Macaca mulatta: one gene and its partners. The protein of the gene in region 3 purifies or fractionates together with the protein of the main gene of each other region. This does not show direct contact. Links are inferred from orthologs where the notes say so. Each region holds a gene or a part of one and is shown on either strand. Other genes may lie near its edges.

Region 1 (3,408 bases), on a different chromosome or scaffold from region 3:
TTAGGTCTGTAACATATTTCGTAAGTTTACAAAGTACTTTCAAATACACTATCTTATTTTTACAGATATGTGAGATGGGCATTATCATCATCCTTACTTTACAGATAGGGAAGTTGCACATAGTCTCATGGCCTTTAAATGTTCAGCCTGATCCTTAGGTCATACTCTTTCCAGTATATATACACAGCTGCTACTTTGCATCCTAGAGCATAAAGCAGCTGACCATATTTCTAGAATGTGTATATGGAGAACAAGAGAGAGCCTCAGTTGGAGTTCAAGGTGATTCACCATTTTTATTGCCAGGCCTTGTACCTCATTGCCACCAATGGGACCCCAGAACTTCAGAACCCAGAGAAGCTGTCAGCTATCTTCCGGGACTTTCTGAACCGCTGTCTTGAGATGGATGTGGAGAAGAGAGGTTCAGCTAAAGAGCTGCTGCAGGTAACTGTCCCTGTGCAGGGAAGCACCTAATTCAGGGAATCACTAAACCAGGCCTTTTTTACTTCATGTTTGTCTGTAAGGTACTGGATATTATAGAACTAGGCTTCTCTTTTACCATTTCCTACCCTCACTCTGTTCCTACTGCTCTAACTTTTATCCCTGGGGCTTTGCTTATTTATTTTCTTAGCCTCTTTCTTGGCCTGTTAAAACTCTACACATTCTCCTAGGCTCAGTTTACAATCATTTTCTGAGCACCTATTGAGCTTTGCTTGTAGCTTGCTTCCTTCCTTCCTTCCTTCCTTCCTTCCTTCCTTCCTTCCTTCCTTCCTTCCTTCCTTCCTCCCTCCCTCCCTCGCTCCCTCCCTCCCTCCCTCCCATCCTCCCTTCCTCCCTCCCTCCCTTCCTCCCTTCCTCCCTTCCTCCCTCCTTCCTTTTCCTTTCCTTTCTTTCCTTTCTTTCTTTTCTTCTTCCTTTCCCTTTCTTTTCTTTCCTTTTCCTTCCTTTCCCTTTCCTTCCTTCCTTCCTTTCCTTTCCTTTCCTTTCCTTTCCTTTCCTTTCCTTTCCTTTCCTTTCCTTTCCTTTCCTTTCCTTTCCTTTCCTTTCCTCTCCCTCTCCCTCCCCCTCCCCCTCCCCTTTCCCTTCCCCCCTCCCTTACTCTCACCTCCCCACAGGGTCTCACTCTGTCACCCGGGCAGGAGTGTACAATGGTGTGATTTTGTCTCACTGCAGTTTTCCTCTCCTGGGTTCACTCAAGTGATCTTCCCACCTCAGCCTCCCAAGTAGCTGGGACTACAGGTACATGCCACCATACCGGGCTAATTTTTTAAAAAGTTTTTTGTAGAGACGCGGTTTTGCTGTGTTAGCTAGGCTGGTCTCAAATTCCTGGGTTCAAGCGATGTGACCACCTCGGTTTCCCAAAGTGCTGGGACTACAGTTATGAGCCACCATGCCCGGCCTGCTTGTATCTTTCATTAGCACATCCTTTGTTCTGTTTGAATTAGTCTGGCAGAGTTTGTTTGAGTCTTGTTGAGAAATGGCTCTCTGACATCCAAATCTTACGCAAGTTATATTTTTGCTGGGATTAGCTCAAAGGATACATTTTTAGCAAAGGAACATACGTTTATTTTATTTTATTTATGTTTTATTTTTTGAGACAGGATCTCTGTCTGTTGCCCAGGCTGGAGTGCAGTGGTGCAGTCATGGCTCACTGCAGCCCCAGCCTCCCCAGGTTCTGCTGATCCTCCCACTTTAGCCTCCAGAGTAGGTGGGACTACAAGCGTGCACCACCATACCTGCCTAATTTTTATATTTTCTGTAAAGACAGGGTTTTGCCATGTTGCTCAGGCTGGGCTCAAACGATCTGCCCGCTATAGCCTCCCAAAGTGTGGAATTACAGGCATGGCATGAGCCACCATGCCCATCCATGGAACATAAGTTTAGAAGATAATTAGTGAGTATGGCTTTTGGAGTCTATACTTTCTTCACTGGAAATCCTCAGATAATGGCAATGATACTCTACTTGTTGAGAGTGAGATTTTGCCAGTTTGTGGAGAAACCCGGAGTCAGGGGTTTACCAGGCCTTTTATACTCCCACCCCCCTAATCCTGATAATTTTACATGGTTGAAAAAATTGCCTTTAGCAGGCCACGTCATTTGTATTTAACATATTTGTTTCCAGTACAATTTCTTATAACAAGTGTTCTTTTATTGTATTGCCCACTAGTGATTTAATAGTAAGTATCATGTGCAACTTTATGAAGGCATGCACTGTCATTTATTTTCGTATTATAAAGCCCAGGAGTGACAGAGCAGGGCAGGGCAGGGCAGGACCTAGCATACTGCCCTGTGTTAATTATGAATCTTTCCTACTGGATTATAACCTCTATTTTATTAATCCCTGAGTTTCTTGTTTTACCTAGAACCTGACTTAGGATAGGTACTCAAAAAATATTTATTGAATTGAATGAAATTGCTGGAAGAACCTACATTGGAATATCATCCTCTGGAACATATTTATCATCTCTTTGTAATTGAGGTTACTGATTATGGAGTACTGGCCTATTAGATATGAGATCTGGGTTCTGCCAAGTGTAACCCATTAGTCTCTAGTATCTGTTGGGACTAAAAGTCTCTTAGTACAATGTAGGACCCCTTTTGCTGTTCATGAGAGTTGTATTCTGCAAACTGTAGGCACTGGGAAATGTGTAAATACGATATGCTAAGCCTATGATTAGTAAAGATACCATTCTTAATTAAGTACCAAACTATAGTTCTTGAAAGGTTAGTGCCCTCTAAAGTTTTCTTCCTGATACAGTAATATAACTAGTAATAAATGCATTATATTGAATCTTTACCATATTTTAGGCACTAAACACTTTATATATTTAGGCACTAATAAGCACTTTATATATTGTCCTTCACAACAACTCTATGAGTTATAGGTTCTGTTATTCTCATTTTTACAGATGAGGAAACTGAGGTTTCAAGTATTTAGTAACTTTTCCATGATAGCTGATATGTGGCAGATCCAGGATTTCAGCCTGTTTGGCTCCGAAGTGTGTATGCTCTTGGCCACTGCTCTTACAGGCTCAAAGAGTATCACAACTGGAAAGCCCTTAGGGCTCATCTAGTCTGTTTTGTTTATTAGACAGAGAAGGAAACTGAGGCCTTCCAGTTCGGTGTTGGATCATGCTGCTCTCAACTTAGGGGAATTGTAGAAACATGTGATCTGAGAAAGCTGGCTTTTTAACTTGTTCGTGTACATTGTAAATATTGAAAACCATGACTTTGAGAATCGTAAATCATAAAAGCTTCACATCTGTTTCTCCTGTGAGAACACACTTATGGACAGAAATACATAGGATGATATATATTGGAATTCCTATCTTCATGATTTAGCTAGGATCTTTTATTCCTTTCATAGTAATAGTACCTTCTTGTTCTCAGTAGCTCTTTATACTATCTCTG
Region 2 (3,564 bases), on a different chromosome or scaffold from region 3:
ATACAGTTTTAGGGGAACTAAGCCACTGTAACCACTAATGTAGTATTGATCACTTTTCAAAGAGCTTCAGAGCTATTTAAATAATTCTGCCTTAGAAACAGTCCCACAAAGAAGAATATAATTTCCATTTGTGAGACAGGAAAACTAAGGCAGAGAGACTAAGTCATTTTTCTGCAGAGAGAAGAATCAAATGAAGGATTTCCTAATAAATAATTTTGGGTTAGAAGTAACACACCCACAGCCAAACTTAATTTTTCATATATAAAGCCATGTATTTAACTAGTAGACAAAATAAATGTATTGAATTTGTTTTTGCCATATGAGTAACCAGCAGGTCAAAAAAATACTCATTGACAATATCCTTAATCCTTAATCCAATAATCTGTAAACAGATTAGCAACTTAGACTTAGGAAAAATCTCTCATGATCACCTTATCCCAACTTTCCAAGAAATGTGTATACATGGAGCATGGATATTAATTATTAATAGTAGCTTAAAAATACAGGAAACAAATCATTTAATTCATTTCACTCAGCCACAGTACTTATACTTGAAAAAAGACAGATATGAAAAACTCTCACATGACAAAAATAACAGGAAAAAGCAGCACTTTAAAAAAAGGCAGGAAAATGGGGCATTTTAGGGCATTATGACATTTTTATATGTATTTCACACAAGCCTGCTTTTTCAACAAAGTACTTACATGTCAGAATTGCATCTTCATATTTTAGCCACCAATTACAACAAGGGACAAAACAAGCATAAGGGAAAGCTTCATTCATCAAAGGTTACAGCACAGCATTATGATGTCACTGTAAGCCAAAGATATTGTTCTACCCTTACCTTTAAGATATAAGACATCCTCTAAAATGAATATGTAAAGAAAGAGAAGATGAGCGTGAGAGGTCGATGGTTATAATGACCAAATCCACTTATCAATAATTCTAAAACAACATTTGAAATGTTAGTGTTATCATAAATTACACAGAGGGAATATAATCACATTTCCCACATTAGTTTCAGATGCAATATTATCATGCAAAAGCCTGAGGAATACAGTTCTGTGCAGAATAACAAATGCTGAAAACAACTGAAATACATACTATCTAGTAGGAATATATTAATAACTCTTTTCCCCCAGCAGAAACGAAGTGATCATGCCTTAGTTTTAATAGATTAGTTATGTGAAGGATTAAGTCAACTTTACTCTTCAAAGCTCACCTTAATTTGAACTTAGTAACTGATAATTACAAAATATCTGTCATTAAAAAGGAGACCGAGGTAACTATGAAGTGGCACTCCTGGTTTACATAATCAAAGAAGAAAATTGGATGACTGCAAGAATTGCAGGTAAATTTCCAAAGTAAATCTGTGGGACTGCTTCCTGACCAAATTCTAAATACAGTTATATAACAAAGATTCAGTTCAAGGGTTGTTTGTCCTATCATGTCAAGTTGAAAGGATCAAAACATCCTCCAGTGTCCAAATATTGTCTTATTTTTACTGCACTTAGAGTTGGTAGCAACAATTAATCGAAACAAAAGCATGGTGGTTTAAATCAAAACACTCAAAATTGAGCTGAGTCTGCATCACTCATCAAAACACACATTTGATCTAGAAATATATGCTGCCTTTGCCCCATAATTCTAAGACTCATCTCATAACTGTCACAAACTTAATCTTCACCCAATGAGACTGATTTAAAGAACAGTTACTAATAAATGAGTATCTTTTCTGAAATCTGAAATGATTTGAGACAGGTTAGGGATAAAGCCACTGTTTGGATGGAAAAGTAATACTCCACACAGTTACAGAAGCTAGTGAGTGACACTTCCTGACTGCAACTTCTAGAGAAAAAAAAAATACACAAAACCTTTAAATCCCCACACTACCCAAATATCAAATGGCCTTTAAGGTTGTCTCTGAGAAGCCTCTTTTTAAAAGACACTCCTTTCATCAAATTCTTTTCTCATTCCAATTGAAGCAAATATCACTTTTATAGTTTGGACTCATAGCTTGGTCCCATAACACTTTACTAATTTGGTTCAAATTGATCAAAATGATCCCAAATGCTGAATTAGGTCTGCTTCATTGGCAACTCAACTACAATGAAGTAGCTCTTGAGATTTGTGTACATTATTAATGAATCTAAAGAATTATCATAATAATCATTAAGGTAAACCAGAGGCACTTCAGGAGGAGACTGGGAACACTCAGGCAGTGCACATAGATCCTATAGATATTCAGTACATATTTGCAGATGGATAATGGGAAACGGAAAATTAAGAAACCAAACAAATCACTGAGTCTAGCAATTCAAGACTGACTCACATATACCACCTATCTTAAATTCTAGCACATTCCCACAGAACTATTTGTAACAAGCTATGAAATTAACTTGTCAGAAGCATTTTATACCATAGGTAGCAAAATTACCTCTTTATAACCTAGTGCTGCTGATGGTCTAAGTGGAGGTGCAGGTCGTAGACAACTTAAACTCCACGGTTTTATAATTTGAGGAGGCTCCAAGGGTCCTCGGGGCTGTCCAGTAGAGCTAAAAGACTGGGAAAATGTCTGATGAGATGTTGGCAATCTGCCATCTGAACCCGACCTTGTGCCACACAGTGAGAGAACAACAATAGCTTCATTGGATCAGCAAAGACAGCCATAGAAAGGGATAGACGGAAGAACAAAAGTCTCCAGTTTGAGAACTGGCTCTTTCCAGTCAAGATTACGGGGTCTCTAAGAAACAGCACAAAATTGACTCAACATTCCATGATCCTGTCCTCTCTTTCTCATCTGGAATTTAATTAATTTAATTTTCTTTCCTCTGTAAGGAAAGAAAATGGAGTAGCAGTCAACATTTGAGTTCAGTGATATGTTTGGCACTCTGGTAGGTGCTTAAATAGATTATTTCATGAGAACAGCCTAAAACATAGACTCAGTCAAGTGAAGTAACTAACTAGTAATTGGCAAAGCCAAGATTTGAACCCAGATCTGAAGCCAAAGCCCATATTCTTCCGACCACAACACACAGTGCTCAAAACTGGAATTTTGGCATCATAGGTTTGTATGTTAACAAACAACACAGTATATCTTCCATCTCACTCAGCAAGTACAGTAAAATCTCATCAATTCAAATTCCAAAGTGTAAATTTGTGATAACTCAGAAAGAGACAATGCTGAAAGTTTACCTTTGAAGAAGGTTACTGAGCAAATGTGAGAGCATGAGTGAGATGACATGGAGATGTTTAAGTACTTAGGGAGGTAAACTATTTGTTTCTACTTAGCCCATTGTTAGTAGGAGAGTAACCATTGCTGATTGAAATAAGCCTTGCTTATCATTAAAATATTTTAGCAGGACTTCTGGTTAGAAATACTTTGCTGGCAGTTAGTTGGGGTACCTGAATACTGTCAAACAGAACTGCACACCTCTAAGTAAACCTTTTCATTAATTTGGATGGGCCTCATAATGAGAAATCAGAATGAGTGAGGTTTAACTGTACTTCAAAATCTACAAATATAGGCTGCCCAAAAGGCTGAGGGTGTGCTTGTTGCTTCTT
Region 3 (3,564 bases):
CTTGGTACTGTTTCCAGCTACGCCAGCCACAGCAGGCGCTCAGGAGGTGTTTCCCCCAGTGCCCAGCACGCAGTGGGCACTCTCTCATTTGGCATCTCTTCCCCGCAGATGGTGCACACGCTTGCCAGCAACGGGGCCAACTCCATCTGGGAGCACTCCCTGCTGGACCCCGCACAAGTGCAGAGCGGCCGGCGTAAAGCCAACCCCCAAGACAAAGTCCAGTGAGTGGGGCTGGAGGGGTGGTGGGCAGAGACTGCACAGTCTGGGACAGGGCCCTGGGAGGTGGCAAAGTGACCACCCTCTCCCACCATGCCCCCCATTCCTCCTGTGTGCCCCATGCAGCCCCATCAAGTCAGAGTTCATCAGGGCCAAGTACCAGATGCTGGCGTTTGTGCACAAGCTTCCCTGCCGGGACGATGATGGGGTCACCGCCAAAGACCTCAGCAAGGTTTGAGGGGCCCTACAACAGATGGGTGGCCCCCTCTTCTTCCCACCCTTGACTCTCTGAAGGCCTCTCCTTTGTCCCCACTGAGGCCTGGGCCCCAAAGGCCGCAAGGTCAGGTGGTAACAGTAGGCAGGATGGAAAGAGCAGATTGCTAGGTCAAGCCATGTGCGGCTGAGGCTCCTCAGCAACCAAGTGGACACAGAAGGCTAGAAGCCCACAACTGCCACTCAGAAGCTGGGAAAACCTGGGGGTAGTTGCTTAGCCTCTCACAGCCTCAGTTTCATCATCTGTAAAATGGGAAAGAAATAACAGCATCTACTTCATGAAGACATTATCTTAAGCAGGGCACACAGCACACGTGGTAGATGGTGACTGACAGCAGCGTTTATTGATTGGCATTAACCCCTAGTGGGGAGCCTCTGTCCTCCTGACATAGCCTGGTTTGGGCAGGCCTCCTTGGAGCTGCTAGGCGTCCCAGGGGCAGCCAGGGTGCAGCTTGCAGGTGGAGAGGTGCGCCTCACGCAATGTGTATTCATTGCACGCTCTGCTCCTCGTAGCAACTGCACTCAAGCGTGCGGACAGGCAACCTGGAGACATGTCTGCGCCTGCTATCCCTGGGTGCCCAGGCCAACTTCTTCCACCCAGAGAAGGGCACAACACCTCTGCACGTGGCTGCCAAGGCAGGGCAGATACTGCAGGCCGAGCTGCTTGTAGTGTATGGGGCTGACCCTGGCTCCCCTGATGTTAATGGCCGCACACCCATTGACTATGCCAGGTGAGGGTCAGCTGAAGGGTGCAGCGTGGGTGGGTGGGGGTGTGGGTGAGGGCTGCTGCTGCAGGGCTGAGCCATACCCCCTCCCCACAGGCAGGCGGGGCACCATGAGCTGGCGGAAAGGCTGGTTGAATGCCAATATGAGCTCACTGACCGGCTGGCCTTCTACCTCTGTGGACGCAAGCCGGGTGAGCAGAGCTTGGAGCGGGCTTCGCTGGGCTGGGCAGGTGGGACCTGGACACACCCAGCAGCAGGTGCCATGGTGACAGAGCGACTGGGGAGCAGTGTTGCTAGGCAACTGGCTCCTGTGAAATTGCTGCAGGCTCTGGGCCACAGCATCGTTGGGGCTAGGGAGTGGGGGTGGGCATCCTGCATCCTCCCCTGAGCTCCCAGCACTCTTGGGGGTGGCCTGCCCTCCCCCCTTTCCCCTGACACTTCTGGGTGCCAGCCCTGCTCATAGCAGTGAGGTGGGCTCCCAGCTGCTGATGCCACCCAGCTCTAGTGAGTGACTTGGCATTTTTATTTTTGTTCAGATCACAAGAATGGGCATTACATCATCCCACAGATGGCTGACAGGTGAGTGCCCACCTGATGCCCCTTTCCAGAGGCTGTTGGATGCCATGTGGGCAGCTGACCCCCAGAGCTCCCAGCCCAGGCTTCAGGGGCCTAGGACCCTGCTCCCCACCCCCCAGAGACTAGAGGCACAGCTTAGTCCTCAGTCCCTAATGCTGGGCCCCAAGGCAGGTAAAAAAATGTTAGCTCCGTATGTGGCCAGCATAGCCTGAGCCCTGTGACTGTCAAGTACATGGAGGGCTTGGGTGTAAGAAGCTACCTGTGGGCCGGGCGCGGTGGCTCACGCCTGTAATCCCAGCACTTTGGGAGGCCGAGGCGGGCGGATCACCTGAGGTCGGGAGTTCTAGACCAACCTGGCCAACATGGAGAAACCCTGTCTCTACTAAAAAGATAAAATTAGCCAGGTGTGGTGGCGCATGCCTGTAATCCCAGCTACTCGGGAGGCTGAGGCAGGAGAATCCCTCGAACCCAGGAGGCGGAGGTTGCGGTGAGCTGAGATCACGCCATTGCACTCCAGCCTGGGCAACAAGAGCAAAACTCCGTCTCAAAAAAAAAAAAAGCTACCTTCGGCTGGGAGGGTGGGCCACTGGGTTCTGTCTCAGTGGCACTGACCCCACTGTCTTTAGAGAAGCCTCTGCTCCTCACTGAAAAGATGGGTGGGCTTCAGGGATGTGACTAACTTTGAGACTGCACGCTAGGCCTCGAGCATGCTCAGAAATTAGGCAGGTGCCCTGAGGCTGGTTGAATGAGGTGTTTCTGCCTCCGTCTGAGAGGCCCCAAGTGCCCAGGCAGTGTGGGACACCCTCTGCCACTCACCCAGCACATAAGATGGATGCTAGTGCCACCTGGTGGCCACCTCTGATGGCCACGTCCTCATGCCAGGCTGTGCCTTCTGGCCGCCAGGCTGTGCCTTCTGGCCTGGATCTGGAGAGAGGAGGTGCTCTCCTCCCCAAGGGCCTGTGTGGGCAGATGGACATAGCCAAGCCTGGGCAACTCAGATCCTAAACCCAGACCTCCTCGAGACCCCAAGGCTCCTACTTCAGTGGTCTGATTCTACCTGGGCTGTGAGTGTGTGTGTGCGTGTTTACATGCATGTGTGTGTATGGTAAATATACCCACATATGGGCTCCATTCAACAGCACATTAACTGAGCACCTTCCTGGAGCCAGCTACTGCTCTTGGCACTGGGAGCACAGAGGCACCTGAGACACAATCCCTACCCTTGAGGAGCTCACAGTCTAGCTGGGGAGGCAGCCTAGGCAGGTGATTCTAGTCCCCTTGGGGGAGCGCAGCAAGAGAGGCAGAGGCATGGAAGGTAGAAGTGCTGCATGGGAATGGAGGCAGCCCCTGGGGCTGGAGCACAGCATGGGAGGCAGGGAACCCTACGAGCAAGACTGGAATAGAGACAAGCAGGAGAATGAGCAGCCCCGAGAGCATCAGCAGGAGCAGTGACCATCCCAAGAGCAGAGAGTTCCAGGCATAGAAGTGTGAAGTCAGTTCTGCTGCTTACTGGCTGTGTGACTTGCAGGCTGCTTGACCTCTCTGAGCCTTGGTTACCTCTCCTGGAAATGGAGATGACAGTATCTGTTTTTCAGGGAGGAGAGGATTAGATAATGTACGCAAAATGTTTAGCTTTTGGTTTTTTTTTTAAGAGTTGGGGTCTTGCTCTGTTGCCCAGGTTGGAGTGCAGTGGCTCGATCATAGCTTACTGCAGCCTTTAACGATCCTCCTACCATAGCCTCTTGAGTAGCTGGGACTACAGGCACATGCCACT
Region 4 (4,183 bases), on a different chromosome or scaffold from region 3:
CTCAGGCCTCAGGGACCCCTACTAGGGCTGTGCAGTGAGAACAGAGAGGAGGCTGAAGCCAGAGATGGCCAAGGGCCTGCGGCGCGATCTAGAGAGCAGACATGCCTTGTGACTGTTTCTGGGGAGGGGCGTCAGCTTGGAGCCTGCTGTGCAGGGGTGTTCTGTGGGCCTGAGAAGGTCGCAGTCAGCCCAGACACTGCACCAGATGTAACACTGCTGGCACCTCCTCCTACTTACCTGGTAAGTGGCAGAAGCTGCTCTCTCCTCCCTGAGAAAAGGTGAGGAATGGGCACTGGACAGCCACTAGGCGGGAGGACTGCCAGCTGGGAAGGGCAGGACGGGGAGTGGGACTCACTGCCTCACCCCACCTGGAAGATGGCCTGGGCCCCAGCAGGCCACCTTGGAAGCCGTGGTGGTGGTGGAGACCTGGTACCACCGAGACCCTCCCGCTCAGGCCCCAGCCCAGCAGAGGCTGAAAAGCAGTCACCAGGTACAAAGAGTCTGAGACAGCCGAATCAGGCACCATTTTTTATAAAAACGCATAGTCTCATTTTTCACTCTTTAAAATCACATTCAAAAATCGGCAAAGAAACGCCCCGGGGAATGAGTAGACGGGAGGGGAGGGTGCGCCAACCCAGCCCCGGGGGGGAGAAGGCGCGACACCACACAGGCAGCGTGACTGGCACGAGGGGGCATGCGGTGGGCGAGGCGGCGCCCCAAGGTGGCGGCACTGACAGGACGTGGGCTGTGGGGTTGGCCAGCCTGGGCAAGGGTACACTGATGGGCCGGGGTGGGGGGCACACTGACAGTCCCCAGCCAGCCTCCTTGATGTGCTGCCCGCCCACCTGGCCGGCCCCGTCCTGGGCAGAAGGGGTCGCACCCGCCCCAGCATCGGGGAGACCTCAGGCCAGGCGAGGCCAGTATGGCCCAACCCACAGTAGCCTTGCTGTGGTCCCTGAGCCCAGGTGCTGGGGGTTGGGGCAAGAGGGGACAGAAGGGAGGGTAGCAGCACCTGCCGCCAATGCCACCCTCTCAGCCGAGCCCTGCAGTGTCAGGGAAGTGGGAGTGGAGGCAGCCAGTGACACCGAGGCTTTTCCTGAATAAGGGCACAGGAGCCCGAGTCACTGTGGGAGGCCTTGGGGACCAGGGAGACAACAGGCCCCTCCTCTCACCAACGCTGTGGGGCAGGACAGTGCAGGGCCTGCCCCTCTGCAGCAGGAGGGGTGCAGTGGGAAAATTCAGTCGGATCCCTGTGCTGCGCCCACCCCAGTGAGGGAGGCTGGGCCACTCAGCAGTGCCCGTGGGCACAGAGTGCAGCCCACAGAGCCCAGGGTGGCACAGCTTGGTGTGGCATCATCCCTCAGGGAAGGGGCGAGAGGGCTGTGCTCTTCCCCCACAGGAAGACACTGGGAGTGGGCAGCCCCTGGGGTCAGGACGGTGGGTGCCGGGCAGCGGCTGGGTTGGTGCAGCAGGAGCTGAGGCAAGCAGGCCCCTCCCGGGGAAGGTGGGCCAGGCTGGGGCCACAGGAAATCACAATAATTACAAAATAAAACCTTTTCCGCTTGGCGGGAAAACAAATAATAAAAATTCGACAAAATAAATTAGAGGTTTATAAAAGGCAGGCGGGCGGGTCAGAGGCCGTTGGCACTGCCGCGCTGGACCAGCGGCACCTTGCTCAGCTCCACCACGGGCGAGCGCGGCTTGTTCTTCATCTTGGGCACCCGCTGCACCAGCTGCTGGGCCTCGCGGTAGGCGTCACGCAGCTCCTTCTTCCACTGCACCAGTTCAGGGTCGCTCTACACATGCCAAGCCCAGCTCTGTTAGCTGGGGCTCTCCCCAGCCTGCCTGACCTGGCCCCTTGGCCCTCCCACCCCCAGCCCAGCCCCCACTCACGTCGCACTGCAAAACGAACTGTTTCCCACCGCGGATCTTGAGGAGCAGGCACTTGCGCTCCTTGATCTGCGTCTCCTCCACGGACTGGATCTCCTCCATGGTCAGCAGGCTCTGCTGCAGGGCCAGGGATGGGTGGTGCGGGTAAGAGCCGGGCCGGCCGGCCACCTGGAAGCCCAGCTCCCAGACCCCCGCACGGGCTCCTTACCGGGGCCTCGCCCTCGCCCCGCCACTCCAGGCGGTTGGGGAACAGGTAGAAGTACCGCCGCTGCCACTGGGTCAGGAAGGGGTTGCCCATCTTGGACATGTAGCCGTGCATGATGCAGTCCTTGCCCAGGGCGTAGTCTGAGGTGAGAGACAGAGGAGACTCAGCCGGCCCCACCTGGGTTTCTTTTTTGTTGTTTTCAGACAGGGTCTCCACTCTGTTGCCCAGGCTGGAGGGCTGTGGCAAAATCTTGGCTCACTGCAACCTCCACCTCCCAGGTTCAAGCGATCCTCCCGCCTCAGCCTCCCGGGTAGCTGGGAGTACAGGCGCGTGCCACCATGCCCGGCTAATTTTTTTTGGTATTTTTTGGTAGAGACAGGGTTTCACCATGTTGGCCAAGCTGGTCTCAAACTCCTGACCTCAAGTGATCTGCGCTCCTTGGCCTCCCAAAGTGCTGGGATTACAGGCGTGAGCCACCACGCCCGGCCCCAGCCTGAGTTTCAATCCCAGAGCCGCCACTTTCTGGCTGTGATCCAGGGCGAGTTCCTTAAACCCGAGCCAGCTGCTCCCTTCTAAGCAGGCAGGGGCCTGGTGCCGCAGCAGCCGGCGACCCTCACCTTCCTCATGGCCCAGCTGCTTGTTCTTGGCTTTCTTGCGAGCCTCCAGCCGGTCTGTCTCAGCGTTGATGGTGTCGAAGACAGTCTCGGCCACCTCCTGCTGCCACCGCTCCGAGATGGTGAGGGGGAAGTTGCGGTAGAGCTCCTGATCACTGTCCAGTAACTTTACCAGGTGGATGGGGCAGGGGCACATGAATGGACAGAGATGCCGGAATACCATCAGCCACAGGCTGCCCAGACCCAGGGCCCTGGGTAGGGATGGTCAGTGCAACTGCCACCCCCAGGGAAGTTGGCTGAGGAGGAGCTGAGGCCTACAAGCTGGCAGGGCTGGCACAGGGTCTCACGGGTGATAAGAAGGGACAGGGATCCTCCCCCAGGCCAGGATCAGAGCCCAGGTACAAGAGGCCAGGCAAGGCCCAGTACCTTGATTCCTTTTGTGTCCTCCTCATCAAAGGAGCCAATGTCGAAGGCGTCAGCCGCGTTCACCTCCCCTCGTGGGGGGATCAGCGGGGGAGGGTACTGCAGCAGAACAGGGCATTAGCTCGGGGGTGGGACTGCAGAGCACCCCCAGTCCCTGCCGCAGACTGTTACCTTCTGCAAGAAGACCATCTGCCAGTCCAGGGAGCGGAAAAAGGGGCTCTCTTTCACCTCCTGAGCCCTGCGGGGAGAGGCCAGTCATCTGGGCTCAGCCCCACCCTGAGCCCTGGGCTTAACTCCTGGTTGAGCCACTTTCTGGCTCTGTGAACTTGGGCAAGTTCCTTAAGCTTGAGCTGTTTCCTCATCTCTCAAATGGGAGAACAGAAGTTCCTACATCATAGGGTTGTGGGTTTTAACATTGGTAAATTTTGCAACCCTATGCCCAGTGCTTAATAAATGTTCAATAAACATAAAAAGCTGCTATTATCATTGTCTGTGACAAGGGCCCCTCTGGAAGCCAGTTACCAGCTGGTTCCAGCAGCTCCAACCCCCAGGGCAGCCCCTCCACCCTGAGAACATTGGACAGGGCTGGCCATGCCCCAACTTGTGAGCTCCTCCAAGGAGGCTGCGACCTTGGAGGGGGTTCCAGGTGACGGGACACAGCCCTTGTCCTCATGGGGGCACAGCCGGCAGCATGCCCAAGGCGCCAGGGCACTCACCCTCGGCCCAGGCAGCCCAGTCTCCGGTTGACGTCTCTCTGCAGCAGCCCCTCTAGCAGGGAGCGGAGTTCAGGGGAGAAGGAGTCGGGCAGCTCCACAGCCTTTAGAGAGGAGTGGGACATTAGCAGGGGCTTAGGAAGAGCCCTCGACCCCATCCCAGCTCAGGGGAGAGAGGGGTCCAAGCCCCCGGCAGAGGGACAGATGGGGCGCAGCTTCCATCTGTCAGGTGCTCCAACAGCAAGGGGAGGACAAGAGCCTAGGGGCAGGAGGTCTGCCTCGGAGGCCAGAGTAGGGGTCAGTGGCCGAGATCTCTGCTGGCTGGTGGGAAGCAAGAG

The links.
Region 1: the proteins of GIT1 (region 3) and PAK1 purify together in Homo sapiens (affinity purification with mass spectrometry; 6 studies listed by BioGRID and IntAct, with this or other methods). This does not show direct contact. The link is inferred for Macaca mulatta from reciprocal best matches to the Homo sapiens genes GIT1 and PAK1.
Region 2: the proteins of GIT1 (region 3) and ARHGEF6 purify together in Homo sapiens (affinity purification with mass spectrometry; 3 studies listed by BioGRID and IntAct, counting the BioPlex papers as one, with this or other methods). This does not show direct contact. The link is inferred for Macaca mulatta from reciprocal best matches to the Homo sapiens genes GIT1 and ARHGEF6.
Region 4: the proteins of GIT1 (region 3) and GRK2 purify together in Homo sapiens (affinity purification with western blotting; 4 studies listed by BioGRID and IntAct, with this or other methods). This does not show direct contact. The link is inferred for Macaca mulatta from reciprocal best matches to the Homo sapiens genes GIT1 and GRK2.

Annotation. Positions count from the first base shown.
Region 1 is NC_133419.1:77,745,005-77,748,412, reverse strand, and holds part of PAK1 (serine/threonine-protein kinase PAK 1), read left to right. Parts: intron 1-303; coding exon 304-441; intron 442-1,170; coding exon of another isoform or gene 1,171-1,224; exon of another isoform or gene 1,225-1,236; intron 1,237-3,408. UniProt on the Homo sapiens protein: Protein kinase involved in intracellular signaling pathways downstream of integrins and receptor-type kinases that plays an important role in cytoskeleton dynamics, in cell adhesion, migration, proliferation, apoptosis, mitosis, and in vesicle-mediated transport processes.
Region 2 is NC_133426.1:143,013,201-143,016,764, forward strand, and holds part of ARHGEF6 (rho guanine nucleotide exchange factor 6), read right to left. Parts: intron 2,576-3,564; coding exon of another isoform or gene 2,564-2,575; coding exon 2,438-2,563; coding exon of another isoform or gene 2,420-2,437; intron 866-2,419; coding exon 845-865; intron 1-844. UniProt on the Homo sapiens protein: Acts as a RAC1 guanine nucleotide exchange factor (GEF).
Region 3 is NC_133421.1:38,321,401-38,324,964, reverse strand, and holds part of GIT1 (ARF GTPase-activating protein GIT1), read left to right. Parts: intron 1-108; coding exon 109-221; intron 222-342; coding exon 343-448; intron 449-1,002; coding exon 1,003-1,220; intron 1,221-1,310; coding exon 1,311-1,405; intron 1,406-1,750; coding exon 1,751-1,793; intron 1,794-3,564. UniProt on the Homo sapiens protein: GTPase-activating protein for ADP ribosylation factor family members, including ARF1.
Region 4 is NC_133419.1:7,100,210-7,104,392, forward strand, and holds the end of GRK2 (beta-adrenergic receptor kinase 1), read right to left. Parts: intron 3,950-4,183; coding exon 3,849-3,949; intron 3,371-3,848; coding exon 3,304-3,370; intron 3,232-3,303; coding exon 3,136-3,231; intron 2,876-3,135; coding exon 2,713-2,875; intron 2,236-2,712; coding exon 2,099-2,235; intron 2,008-2,098; coding exon 1,894-2,007; coding exon of another isoform or gene 1,872-1,893; intron 1,818-1,871; coding exon of another isoform or gene 1,797-1,817; coding exon 1,632-1,796; 3' UTR 516-1,631; downstream 1-515. UniProt on the Homo sapiens protein: Specifically phosphorylates the agonist-occupied form of the beta-adrenergic and closely related receptors, probably inducing a desensitization of them. Key regulator of LPAR1 signaling.